Caenorhabditis elegans: one gene and its partner. The protein of the gene in region 1 purifies or fractionates together with the protein of each later gene. This does not show direct contact. Each region holds a gene or a part of one and is shown in the gene's direction. Other genes may lie near its edges.

Region 1 (7,847 bases):
AATAAGCAAATCACGGAGATTTAGATACGAGAATAAGAAAAATGTAAAAAAGACACAAAAAACGGAAATAAGAAGAAGAAGATGGGCGAAATTAAGAAGATGTGACATTGCACGTTTATCATTTCGTCGCGTTAATCGGACATTAACACCGCTTTGTCTCAACCACATACAATTTTTTGAAAAATTTCGGTTTTTTGTGGGTGATTTAGTCTATGTTACTGTAATCGAATTGACAAATTCTTCGATCGTCTATGACTTTAGCTTTATAATTTAGGTTAGAAAAAGAGAAGTTTCGGAGATGGAATGTGTCAACTTATGTTCCAAAAAACCCAATAAACTGCAATATTTATATGAGAAATATAAACTGAAGGTAAGAAGAATGGCAGGTTATATTATTAATTGGTGTATATGAAAGAAGGTCATTCGTTTATTATATTATCTATTCTTAATCTCTTTTATTACATCCAAACCTTTTAGAGACTCTCTGAACATTCTATTGAATTCGAAATTTTCATCTGGGGATTACTGTACTTAGCTCATAATCGTATCAATTCCTGAACACACTCACTGCCGTTCTCAAAATTATGTAAATTTTCATATTCTCTTTATGGCATCTGAGGATTATTTTTATGGCTTAAAATCAATTTTTGGCAACTTGACTACTTACAAAATGTGTTCTCATGCATAACTTTGTAATAGGTGGGTACGAATGCTTTGTTCCTTTGAACTTCAAAGCGTTCCCAAGAACGCCTTGTATTGGTATTTCTCGACGATTTATTGTCCGTTTCTCGTTTCTTGTGATAATTATAGAGGTCAAAATGTCACTTTTACTTGCCATTCATATATTCCAGTCTTTTTTCAATTTCAACCCGATCTCTCAGTTCTCTACCAATTCGTCTTGAGCTAATTCCCTTGTCAATCGATGAGTTGCTTCACCTCCACTAAATTATTCATTTCGCATCAGGAGCAAGTAGTCTGTACGACTTCCGTTTCTACCGAAGAGCAACAGAAGCCTCAACTCAAACTGGCAGAACCACCTGTGATAACAATGAGCGGAGTTACTGCAATTGAGATTCCACAATGGATTCAAGATAATCAAGAGGATTTTGTACCACCTGTTTGTAACAAGTGTATGTTCTCGGATCAGTTGAAAGTTTTCTACGTTGGAGGACCAAATCAAAGAAAAGATTTTCATTTGGAAGAAGGAGAAGAGTTTTTCTTCCAGAGAAAAGGGGATATGGTACTGAAAGTGATTGAAAAGGGTCAAGTCCGTGATCTAGTAATCAAGCAAGGTAGGATTCATCACAAAATTTATTTTTGAATTTGTAAATTAATTAATTAATAACACAAACTCACATGGTTTCTTAGATAACTTTTTAACTAGCTTTTTAAATTAAAATTCCATGAACAAAAAATTTAGACTGAAAATTGAGAATTTTTCACAATTTATAAACGGAAACTAAATCTGTGTTGTCAAAAATTTTTTGGAATTATTTTTTTCACAAATGTTAGATAATCTGAATCAAAACTCAAAATTGAGCTCTCTATTTTTCAGGGGAAATGTTCATGTTGCCAGCAAGAGTAGAACATTCACCTCAAAGATTTTCCAACTCTATTGGTCTTGTCGTTGAACGTGAACGAAAGAATACTGAATTTGATTGTGTTCGATTTCTTGTTGGTTCTTCCAATATCACACTCTTTGAAAGATGGTTCTATTTGACTGATGTTGTCAAGGATTTACCTCCATTAATCAAAGAATTTTATGGATCGAATGAATTCAAAACTGGTTGGTTTGTAGTTGTGTGAGCTCACCGATTTTTTGTTTCAGGTAAACCAGGAAAAGGAACATTTGCATGCAATGCTCCATACGAAGCAAGATGGACTGATTTACCCGTACCTATTAATAGAAAAGAATTTATCTATGATCATATCAGTGAAGTGAAGTAAGAAATTAGTTGGTTTTGTTTCGGATAGTTAATTTGAGAAGTTTTCAGAAACGGACCAGTGAGAATTTATGGAGCACCTGAGTACAAAACTGAAGTTATGTTGCTAGGAGAGGGATCTTATGATTTGGAAAGTGGAACTGTAGAGTTGCTAATTTGGTTGCAGGTATGGCAAAAACAGAAAAATCCCAAAAAAAATTCATGTATCATTTAGGAAAACACATTTGCGGTCGTAGAAGAGAGCGGGTTCACTTATGCAATGAAATCGGAGACCATGGTTAGGATAAAACCGAACACAAAGTAAGAATACGGAATTATAGGTTCTTTGAAATAATTTTGTTTTAGGTGTCTTCTTAATGTCAAAGGAGGATTTGCTATCACCATCAGAATGCCAGCATAATTTTTTTTTTCAATTTTGTAAAAGTCAATTTCCATATAGGCTGATTGAATGAATGCTTTTTTCAATATTTCTATCTTTATTCCAAAATGTAATTTCAATTTTGATTTATAACAAAATGAATGACATGCAATCGTGGCCAACTGATAACATCAATTCCGTTTCATTATCATCGATGTCAAATGTCTCGTGTAACACACGCTGTCGGTTCAGCAAAACCATCATGTTCTTCAAAGCTTCAGAAAATTTGTACTTTCAGACCTCGTTGTTCGTTTCAGGAAATTATGTCACTGTAAAAACTGTAAAATTGGTTAAAAATACAAAGAATCCAATTTTTGTTTTGTAGTTAGTTTACATAACTATTTTTAGTATGATTTCTATTTCATTAGAAAAAAAAACGTTAACTCATTCCGAAAATTTTTTAGCAGAAAAATAATAAATGCCTTTTAGCCGTAATTTTCAAAGGGGTTGTTTTTAAATTTGATGGGGAAGATTGAAAATAATAACTTAAAATAACTTCTCGGTTGGAAAAAAACTATAATTTAGAAAATGTTCACAATACCTCATTTTTTACTGTCAAATCGTCACGAGAACTTTGATTGTTGAAATTTGGCCAGTACTTCCTTGTTTTGAGCATCTTTTTAATATGATCAATGACGTACAATCCAAGTTTCAGATCTTTAAAAACATCTGATTACGATTACAGATCTTTTATTTTATTGTTCATAGCCCATTTTTCGTTTTGCAACCCTTATCATTAATATGCCCTTTTTGTGTACATTTATTCTTTTTCTTTCGTTGTCTTCATTGAGTATTAACTGAAATTGTCTAGGATTATGAGCATCGGAAACTGAAATGATAAGTATTTCCCGCGCTCATGTGGTTTTTTTTTTAATTTTCTAACGGTTTTTCCTCAACAGTTGAATCAATGTTATAAATTGCCAAAAAACAAAGACTACAATAAATGGACCACATTATAACGTCTAAGCACTGTAGTTTTCCTATTTACTATTATCAACTGTCGTCTTTATCAGTCTCTATCTTTTTCTAAATTGACCTTCGGCCACACTGTAGGCTACCCATGCTGTCCTCTTGCCCAGTTCTTATATTTTGATTGTTATTGCTAAATTCATTTATTTTTCAAACTTCAGCCATGCCACACGACTCTACATATCCACCAGTGAAGATTTCCGAGCGTCCGTACCATGAGATGCTCCTTGATGCAATTGATAAAACAATTGCCGATGGAAAGAATAAAATTGCATTTGTGAGCGGAGATAATCCAAAACATTTCATTACTTTTGAACAACTTCGTAAGGATGCTTTTGCTGTCGCTATGTATCTTCATAGCATTGGGTTCAAGGTATGTGGCATTATGTTAAAAATTTGGGAATTTTATAATTCAACAAGAGAAAGGAAGTATTTCAAAAATCTTTCAATTTGTTCAAGACAATGCCTTAAATTTTTGATATCTTTTAGAAAGATGTTGCTGCTGTTGTTCTTCCAAACGTCTGGCACTATACTTCATTTTTCATTGGATGTGCCATCAACGGTGGAGCTGTATCTGGAGCTAGTGCACTTTTCACTGACTGTAAGTTAAATTGATGAAAGTTACTTTCACCAACCCGCAATTTCTGTTTTCAGATGAGCTTCAACGTCAATTTGTTGATTCTCGCGCAAAGGTTGTTTTTACTTACGAAGATTTTCTTCCAAAAGTTCTTCTTGCTGTGAAGCAATCGCCAAACATCCAAAAGATCATTGTCATCCCAAAACCAGTTGGATCTTCTCTTCCAGCAGGAGTTGTATCTTGGAATGAAGTGGTTTCAACTCCAGTCACTGCTCTACCACAAGTTCCAATTGATGTTCACAATGATTTACTCGTTCTTCCATACTCGAGTGGTACCACTGGACCACCAAAGGGTGTTATGCTATCACACTACAATTTTACATCCATGATCTCCATGTATCTTGCGTAAGTTTGAAATTTAAAGATGATGATGATGAGACAGAATAGGTGTGAAAGTACAAAGTTAACAGTAAAATGGTTACACTTTAACCTTCCTATGACGCAAAAAAAGATAAGGGCCAAGAAAACAATTTCATAGATCAATACAGAAGAATCAGTATAACGTTATGTACATTTTTTGAAAAGTAATTGAAAAAAAACGAAAATATAATTAGGTTCATATACGACACAACTTTCAGAATTGATAAATCACACATTTTGGATGTTCTTGATCCAAATTGGGACTGCTACAATGAGAAAGCTCTCTTGTTTCTTCCATTCTATCATGTCTATGGATTTGGTCTTCTTAATCACTGTCTTCTCAAGGGAATGACTGGAATTGTCATGAGCCATTTTGAGCCGAATAATTTTTTGACTGCCGTTCAAAACTACAAAGTATAGAATCAAAAGTTCATAAATAACATTTTTAATTTAATTCTTTAGGTCCGCTGTCTTTGCCTAGTTCCACCAATTATGGTTTTCTTGGCCAAGCATCCAATTTGCGATAAGTTTGATCTATCATCAGTGCAAATGATAATGGCGGGAGCAGCTCCAGCTGGAAAGGATTTGATTGAAGAATTGAAGAGGAAGTATACAAATTTGAAATACATCCAACAAGGATATGGAATGACGGAATGTTCAATGGCTAGTCATCTTCCTGATTTAAGAAATGATCAACCATATGGATCCGTTGGAAAACTTGCTTCAAATTTGGTTATGAAGGTGAGAATTTCCGAATCAAGTTTTTCAATGTTTAAAAGGAAACAAAAGTATTCAATTTATACAAAAGTTATTCAGATTGTGGAACCAGGAACCGACAGAGAGCAACCGGTTAACCAACGAGGAGAAATTTGTGTTCGTGGTCCAACAATTATGCTTGGGTATCTCGGAAGACCAGAAGCAACAGCCAGCACTGTCATCGATGGATGGCTTCACACTGGAGACATTGGTTATCTCAATGAGGATGGAAATTTGTTTATTGTTGATCGACTTAAAGAGCTAATCAAGGTCAAAGGGCTTCAAGTACCACCAGCTGAACTTGAAGATCTTCTTCTATCTCATCCAAAGATTAGAGATTGTGCAGTTATTGGAATCCCAGATGCTAAAGCTGGAGAATTACCTAAAGCATTTGTTGTAAGAGCTGATAACACTCTCACTGAACAAGAAGTTAAGGACTTTGTTAAACGTAAGTTATGAATAGTGCATTTTCTGTATAACTATAATACTTTCAGCAAAAGTGTCTCCTTACAAACAACTCGAAGGTGGTGTCGAATTTATTGAAGAAATTCCAAAGTCCGCAGCTGGAAAGATTTTGAGACGATTCTTGAGAGATCGTTCTTCAGCCAAGCTTTAAATGTTTTTTTGTACATTAACTTTATTGATATTAATTTTTCATGGTTTTTTCTCAAAGTAATTGAATGATTATACAGGAGTAGAACAAACATTACAAGTAACTGGGCAAGCATATTCAATACGTAGCTTATCATCAGTTTCACAAAGTCCTGAAGATTTATAATCGGCACAGTTTGACAAACGATCCACACAACTTCCGGCTTGCTTTCCACAAAATCCACAAGAAGACGCACAATTGTATTTCATGATTGCTTTTTGAGAACTAACTGATGTACAAAGATCAAGAGTTTTGAACAAATCACAGTTTGGATGAAGATCACGGCATTGGCAGAAGATGAGTGGAAAAATAATGGAAACTAGAAGAAATACAGGAAAAATCATTGATGGTTGAAATAGCAGAAGAGGAAAATGGGAATAGTTGGTTGAGAATATGAAGTTGACTATCGGAACATGGGAATGGAAAAAAATATGTTCATGTGAAAATAAATTGCCCTTATGCAAATAGTTTTATTCATGACTTTTACTAGTAAGTGAACAGCTGAATATGTACAGATTGCTCAAAGGTATAGCTTAGATATTGTGAAAAATGTTAAAAGTACTCTTTTGATTTTGACGTGGCCATATATCGTTGTAAACCATGTAATATTAGTCTAAATGACAGTCAAAAAGTGGCGTTTTGATTTATCAAGTCGGCAAGAGTATATTTTTTAAAAACATTTCTGTAAATGTTATATTCTTATAATGTTTTACATTATTTATATCTAAAAATTCTAGAGACACTCTTGAGGGTTTTTCAAAAGTCCAAATTTTTCAAAAATTTGGCAATTTGACTGGACATTTTAAAAACGAAAGCATTTAGGATATTTTTTGTAGTCGAAAAAAAAGTACAAATTTTGTAAATTGTTTAACCAGGATATTTGGATTTTTCAAACTCAAAACTTAAAATTTACAAAATTTACAAAATTCGATTATTTCGAAAAAGTGTTTATGAAAATCCCCACTGATGACCTTTATGATGATGTGATTTTGAAGAGTTTGGAAGAAAATAGTAGTATTTATACTTATTTTTTCCATGTGTTCTTATTCAATGATTGCCTACGATCTTAACTTACCTATGATCTTTTGAATATGTTTATATATGCTCTGCTTGTTTTACTTATGATATCCCATCATTTGATCTTACGCATATTGTGAGCTGCTACGTGTTTCTTCAGCAAGAGCATTCATTTGATGTTTAACCTCATCAAATTTCTCGCATGCTTCGTTTTTACAATTGGTTCCTAAATTTTTTAGTAAGTTTCTTGCAAAGATTATTAAATCGTTATGGTTGGCGTAATTTCAAAACTTGATTCTGTAAGATATTTATGTAGTCCTAAATTACAATATTAAAACGAATCTTCCGAGCGGTTTGATGATCTTAGAGTTGATGACGGTACTGTTAGCTTTGAAAATTCACTGAACCGAGCAGAAGCATGCTATAATGTGAACCGTACCGTATTATGCATGTACAAAAATAAAAGCAGTCTACACCTAAGCTCATTTTATACATAAATATTACTCACTACTCGTTGATGAATGAATTTTGATGGTCAGTAGTCTGGAAGTAATGGTGTTCAGAAAAATTTAATGCGAAAAATAAAAGGTAACATATGCCAACTCACTAATAAGAAACTACGAGCTATTTGTAGTTTTCCCTTACACTCTGGCACTTCCCTGCTTTCAGAAAAACTAGAAAAATGTCATCTGTCACATGATCTCTTGGTACAACAATAAAGTTACACGTCTGAACAAGGAAGTCATGAAATATAACAAAGAGATTTCTTGGACCCTATATTAGACTTTATGGAGATGATTCTTTTCTCAAGTTTCCAAAGCTTTGTTTTCTGAAAAAAAAAACTTCTAAATGCATGTTTCATCGTATTTATTTTAATATTGAATTAAGGCAGGGTTGGCTTAATTTATTGAGTAATGAAAAACTTTTTAAAACTTCAATGTTTCCAATTTTAGATCTCTGTTATATATGTTCTCTGACTATCAAAAATTAGTTTACTGAACTTAAATGTCTATGTGATTTAGAATTGACACTCTAAATTTCACCTGTTTGTATTCTTGCTCAAAACTCAAAAGGTCATTATGATTTTAGTCACTT
Region 2 (5,680 bases), on another chromosome or scaffold:
CTAACAACTATCATTATGTTTGTTTTTGTTGCCTCTTAATTGTTAGTTTTGTGAAAAATCCATGTCCATGTTCATCTTTATTGATTTTAAAAATTTTCAAATTAACTTCAAAATCATTAAAGGCCACCCATTAAAGTCGGTGACTAAAATAATAAATCAGAATGTGCTGAAAAAATTTTTAGTTGTCGTAAATTTTACAAAACTTTGTTGAGAACTTCGCCACGTAGAATTGAGGCTTTAAGGCGGCCCGGAGGCGCCTCTTATCGCCTTTTTCTTTACCTCTTCTCTCACCCTTCTTTCTACCGGAAATCTTGTATGCAAATTCTCATTACGGTGAATATTTTTCTGTGATTTTTTTTCATTTTTACTTCTCATTCATTCAAAGGCGTTTACCGGGCGGAATGTTGTTTAGTTCTCATCCATATTTCTAAATACCCAGCAACTTGGATTTTCTCGTGTATACTGTTCCATTTCTTTTCATCATGTCCCGCCATCATCACCCCAAAAAGAAAACCGATTATTTTTCGTTTCGAAAATTTACATAAACATGTTTTTCCGCCTGGCCACGTGAGATTGTTATATTTATTTATCTAGGCGGTTTCGCACCATCACTCATTTCAAAAGGTCATTTTGCCAATAATTTTTGAAGTGGTCGTTTGGTTTTTGAATCTTTGAAGTTCACGAGGTAGTTGTATAGGTTAACCTTGATTCCTTTTGTAAAGGGATTTTGAAAAAATCAGCTCTTTCAAGGTTTTTCTATAGGCAAAAACAGAAGAAAACTTCCACTAGAAAATTTCAAAAAAAAAAATAGTTTTTCATTTTTGGTGAGGGAATTTTGATATAATTTCATTTATTCCTAGGATCTTATTACATTAACCTAGATAAATATCCAATCTTTTTTTTCAATTTTCAAAAAAGTAATTTGCCTTATCAAAGAACACTTTGAAACCCTCACAAATGACACATTTCGATCTCATTGCGCTGCGTTTTGCCCGTTCTCTCCACCTTGCCATCACGTTTTCCTCGAAATAAAAATTTTCAAAATGGTCACGTCTCGAAAAACGTCTCTGGCAAACAACAACGCTGCCTCTCGTTTTCTACCCGCATGTGTTGTTTTCTCGGAAATAGTGTGTGCTTATTGGAGGGCGGGCCGACGAGAAAGAGTTGTCGAGAAGAGGCAGTCCGTTTTTGAGACCCCCTTTCCTCAATTTGTCCGAAAACTAGGCAAAATTTCCTGTAACTTTTGTTGTGAACTGTCGACTTTGGTGCAATAGAAAGTAACCATCTAGTTCAGTCTTGAAACTGGGCCCGTAGTCTTATCAACACACGTTTCTGTTGATTTCTTGAGTGCTAAAATAAGAAAGTAGAAAGTTTTACGTTTCTTATCGTATAATAATTTTTATCATCAAATCGATTTTTATTGGAAACACCTAAAACGTTTTTTGTTTCCAAGTAAATCCTCTCGAATGTCGATGAGGTGACCTCCTTTTAACGTGGTCATTTTTCGATTTTGATCTCTTTCGCTATATAAATACACCTCATTATCGCGTTTTGCGGCATACCGCCACTCTTTTCATCTCTTCAATTTCTATAACTAAACTTATTGATTTTTTTTAATTCCAGAAACAACACTCAACATGTCCTTCTTTGACGGAATCCCAGTTGCTCCACCAATCGAGGTGTTCCACAAGAACAAGATGTACCTCGATGAGACGGCTCCCGTCAAAGTTAACCTGACAATTGGAGCCTACCGCACAGAGGAGGGACAGCCATGGGTGCTTCCAGTCGTTCATGAGACTGAAGTCGAAATCGCCAACGACACCTCGCTCAATCACGAGTATCTTCCAGTTCTCGGTCACGAGGGTTTCCGCAAGGCTGCCACCGAGCTTGTCCTCGGAGCCGAATCGCCAGCTATCAAGGAGGAAAGATCGTTTGGAGTACAGTGTCTCTCTGGAACCGGAGCTCTTCGTGCTGGAGCCGAGTTTCTTGCTTCAGTGTGTAACATGAAGACCGTCTACGTGAGCAACCCAACATGGTAAGTGGTCGAAAAATCGGAGCCAAACATACTTATCTGATAAAATATAACAAGTCTTGTATTGGCCAGAGTGAGTAGCAGTCAACCAGAACTTCAACTTCTTAAAATAGCCGCCCAATTCTTGGCAGTATTACCATAAACCTAGGTAATCTAGGTAAAAAATGAGTTTCAGCAAGGCTCTTTCAAAGAGGTGTAAGGTACTTTTCCTGAACCTCTGATAATGCTGGGCGAAATTCATCAAATCATGAATTTTTATCATTTTCAGGGGAAATCACAAGCTTGTCTTCAAGAAGGCTGGTTTCACCACCGTCGCCGACTACACCTTCTGGGACTATGATAACAAACGTGTGCACATTGAGAAGTTCCTCTCCGATCTTGAGTCAGCCCCAGAGAAGTCTGTCATCATTCTTCACGGATGTGCTCACAACCCAACTGGAATGGACCCAACTCAGGAGCAATGGAAGTTGGTTGCCGAGGTGATCAAGAGAAAGAACCTCTTCACCTTCTTTGACATTGCTTACCAAGGATTCGCATCTGGTGATCCAGCTGCGGACGCCTGGGCGATCCGCTACTTTGTAGACCAGGGAATGGAGATGGTTGTGTCCCAATCATTTGCCAAGAACTTTGGACTTTACAGTAAGTTTTGAATAGAAGATGAAAAGTAAAATACTTCAAAATTTCAGACGAGCGTGTCGGAAACCTTACTGTCGTCGTCAACAATCCAGCTGTCATTGCCGGATTCCAGTCTCAAATGTCGTTGGTTATCCGTGCCAACTGGTCCAATCCACCAGCACATGGAGCAAGAATTGTGCACAAGGTGCTCACCACCCCAGCTCGCCGTGAACAATGGAACCAGTCTATTCAAGCGATGTCTTCTCGTATCAAGCAGATGAGAGCCGCCTTATTGCGCCATTTGATGGATCTTGGCACTCCTGGAACTTGGGATCACATCATTCAACAAATTGGAATGTTCAGCTACACCGGACTTACTTGTGAGTTTGCTTTTTTTAACACTCTGATGAGGACAATCTTAATTTTCAGCTGCCCAAGTGGATCACCTGATTGCCAATCACAAAGTATTCCTGCTCAGAGACGGCCGCATCAACATTTGTGGTCTTAACACGAAAAACGTGGAATATGTCGCCAAGGCGATTGATGAGACTGTGCGTGCCGTGAAGAGCAACATCTAAAGCTTTGAAATTTATGAATTTTATGTGAAAAATTGAGTTTTTGTGCTCTTCAAGTTTGAGCATTAAGTGTAGATTGAGTATTTCTATGCACTTAGTTTTAATTTCCCGTGTGTACTTTTATTTATTTTAACCCGATTACTTTTTTTTCTTGAATGGAAAATGAATCATTGCTATTATTATCCGTGTGATGTGGACGTTTACTTGGGGAACTATTTCATAAAATATTCGCTCCTAACCGCGACAATTATGGATACACTGCCATAATGCATGAAGCAGCGGATTTTTGGCATATGGAAGCAAGAGGAACATCAGAATTGCCGGAACAAAAATAAAACTAAAACTGTTGTGCGAAAAGTCTACGACATTTTGTTACAAAGTTTGTAATTCTGGTCACCCCAAGTTTAGATTAAGAATATTTGCCATCTATCTATTGTTTAGACACCTGTCGATTTGGTTAAAATTTTTCAGTCTCCTCGAAGTCATGTGGCAAAATTTGAGAAAAATCTTGTTACAACAATTTTCTTTACAGTTCATTGGATTGAAAGTGTGCTCCGAGAAACTTTCAAATTATGCTTTTCTGTTACGTTGTACAACGGGATGGGATAAAATAATCAGTTTTGTACTAAAAATGGTTCTCTAGTATTTAGAATAATTGTTTTAAAATTATTCCACAATACTAAAAAAACATTCAACTATATGTGGATTTCGTGAATAACTTTTAGAGTCAATTTGAACGGAGCACCAATTCAAAAACGGCTCTCCAACTTTCTGAAATCACGTGTACAGGTAAGGATACATCAGTGTTCCATTACCTGAAAAGCTTACGTCTTGCAAACTTCGATGACCCGGAGTGTGAAAGACAGTTAAAAAATTGCGGGGATTTATGAACAATGTTTTCTGTTCAAGCAATTATGATATATGGTGCAAATACTAATCATCACTAGGCTTTATTTTATTTTTGTAATTTTCTTGTAGTTAATTGAAAAAAAAGTGTTTCAACTTCTGTCATATGCTTCAAAATACAGTGTATTACTGACCACCTGGCACCATGTTTAAAAACTTTTTTTCGAGCAGCTGTTAATATTTGTTACTACAGTTTGAAAAACTGATTTAATTCTATAACTGACCACGTCAAACTTTCGCATTCTCATCTACACGAACTTCATTTCCCGGAGTATTCAAAGTTGAGGTAGGCTTCTATTTTCTTATCAACGTCAATCAAGTGATAAATCATTTTTTATTGCAATGCACTTTAAGCTGTCTTAGTTTTTTTCGAACCTTCGTGTTTCGCCGTAACATCGTTCATCAAGTAGTTGTTTTATGGAAAAAAATAGAGTAATCATTACCAATGAATATGGGAAGGATGAAAAAGGTTTTATTTGATCATAACAATTAATAAATAGAAAATGACAATGTAATATTTTCCATTGCTCTAAAAATGGCAAACTCAATTATCAAGCGGTTGTACTTATTATTGTTATTGTTATTATTATTATTATTATATTGTTATTATGGTTGTTATTGTTGTACTTATACCCAATATTATTACTAAGAAACCCCGTTACAAAACGGTTTTCATTTGTTACGGGGTTACAAAATTAATAGAACGGCATATTCATTTTTCAAAAAGCACGAGAATTCCAGCAACATGTCGAACCGTGGGTACGCCCATCTTCACCAGACTCGATTCACCATGAAAATGTGAATACGTGCCAGGAAGTAATCAGGAACACAAATTCATTTTCAAACGAACAGAAAAACTTTACATAGTTAAACTAAATAAATTTAAAAAAATAAAAAAACTAAAAAAAAATAAACTAAAAAAAAAAAAAACTTAGTACCGCAGTTTTTTGATTCTTGAACAAAATTACCATGTTGCGAACGCTATAACGATTTTTGCAACCGTATATAAACAGGATTGCGCTAAGGAAAAAAAGTACTCCCAGTTCTTTTTTTCAGAAGACAGTGAGCTACAAAAATGTTTTATAGTCAAAGTATAAAATGTACTGAATTTGCAGTCCCAGAAATTTTGTTTCTTGCACTTTCTGAGTTCAAGAGTTTTTTTCAACGTCAGCTATAAATTAAAATTTCGTTTTCTTATCGCCACCTGCTCCAAAAAACTCCCATTTTTCTATTTCGTGTTATGCATGGAACTATTCAACTTTTGGTACTTGTGTAGTTCAACTGACCCAGAAATGGTGGCCATTCTTATACATAGTTTTACGTGACTTTTTTGTCCATCTTAGGCTAAGGGTTAATGTTATCTAAGCTTAAACAGCAAATAAATTTCAGTTAAAATATGCGGCTATCTTTCTTTGATGGAATTCATGTTGCTTCGCCAATCAAAGAGCTCCATACATCGGAACTCTTCCAGAAAGAAATTTGCCCTGTGAAAATAAATCTTGCAATAGAAGCTTATCGCACGGAAGATGGAGAGCCGTGGGTTTTGCCAGTG

What was found. Proteins that work in one complex are often made in the same cells at the same time.
Region 2: the proteins of acs-14 (region 1) and got-1.2 fractionate together in Caenorhabditis elegans (co-fractionation; one large-scale study listed by BioGRID). This does not show direct contact.

The regions. Positions count from the first base shown.
Region 1 is NC_003283.11:9,504,641-9,512,487, forward strand, and holds acs-14 (4-coumarate--CoA ligase), read left to right. Parts: upstream 1-3,491; 5' UTR 3,492-3,493; coding exon 3,494-3,703; intron 3,704-3,819; coding exon 3,820-3,931; intron 3,932-3,984; coding exon 3,985-4,312; intron 4,313-4,545; coding exon 4,546-4,741; intron 4,742-4,789; coding exon 4,790-5,068; intron 5,069-5,143; coding exon 5,144-5,531; intron 5,532-5,577; coding exon 5,578-5,699; 3' UTR 5,700-5,738; downstream 5,739-7,847. Other genes in the region: haao-1 (3-hydroxyanthranilate 3,4-dioxygenase), read left to right, coding at 1,049-1,292, 1,556-1,786, 1,829-1,943, 1,995-2,109, 2,158-2,243, 2,289-2,343.
Region 2 is NC_003284.9:16,789,070-16,794,749, reverse strand, and holds got-1.2 (Aspartate aminotransferase, cytoplasmic), read left to right. Parts: upstream 1-1,623; 5' UTR 1,624-1,637; coding exon 1,638-2,035; intron 2,036-2,223; exon of another isoform or gene 2,224-2,300; coding exon 2,301-2,671; exon of another isoform or gene 2,672-2,718; coding exon 2,719-3,027; intron 3,028-3,076; coding exon 3,077-3,225; 3' UTR 3,226-3,403; downstream 3,404-5,680. UniProt on the Caenorhabditis elegans protein: Biosynthesis of L-glutamate from L-aspartate. Important regulator of levels of glutamate, the major excitatory neurotransmitter of the central nervous system.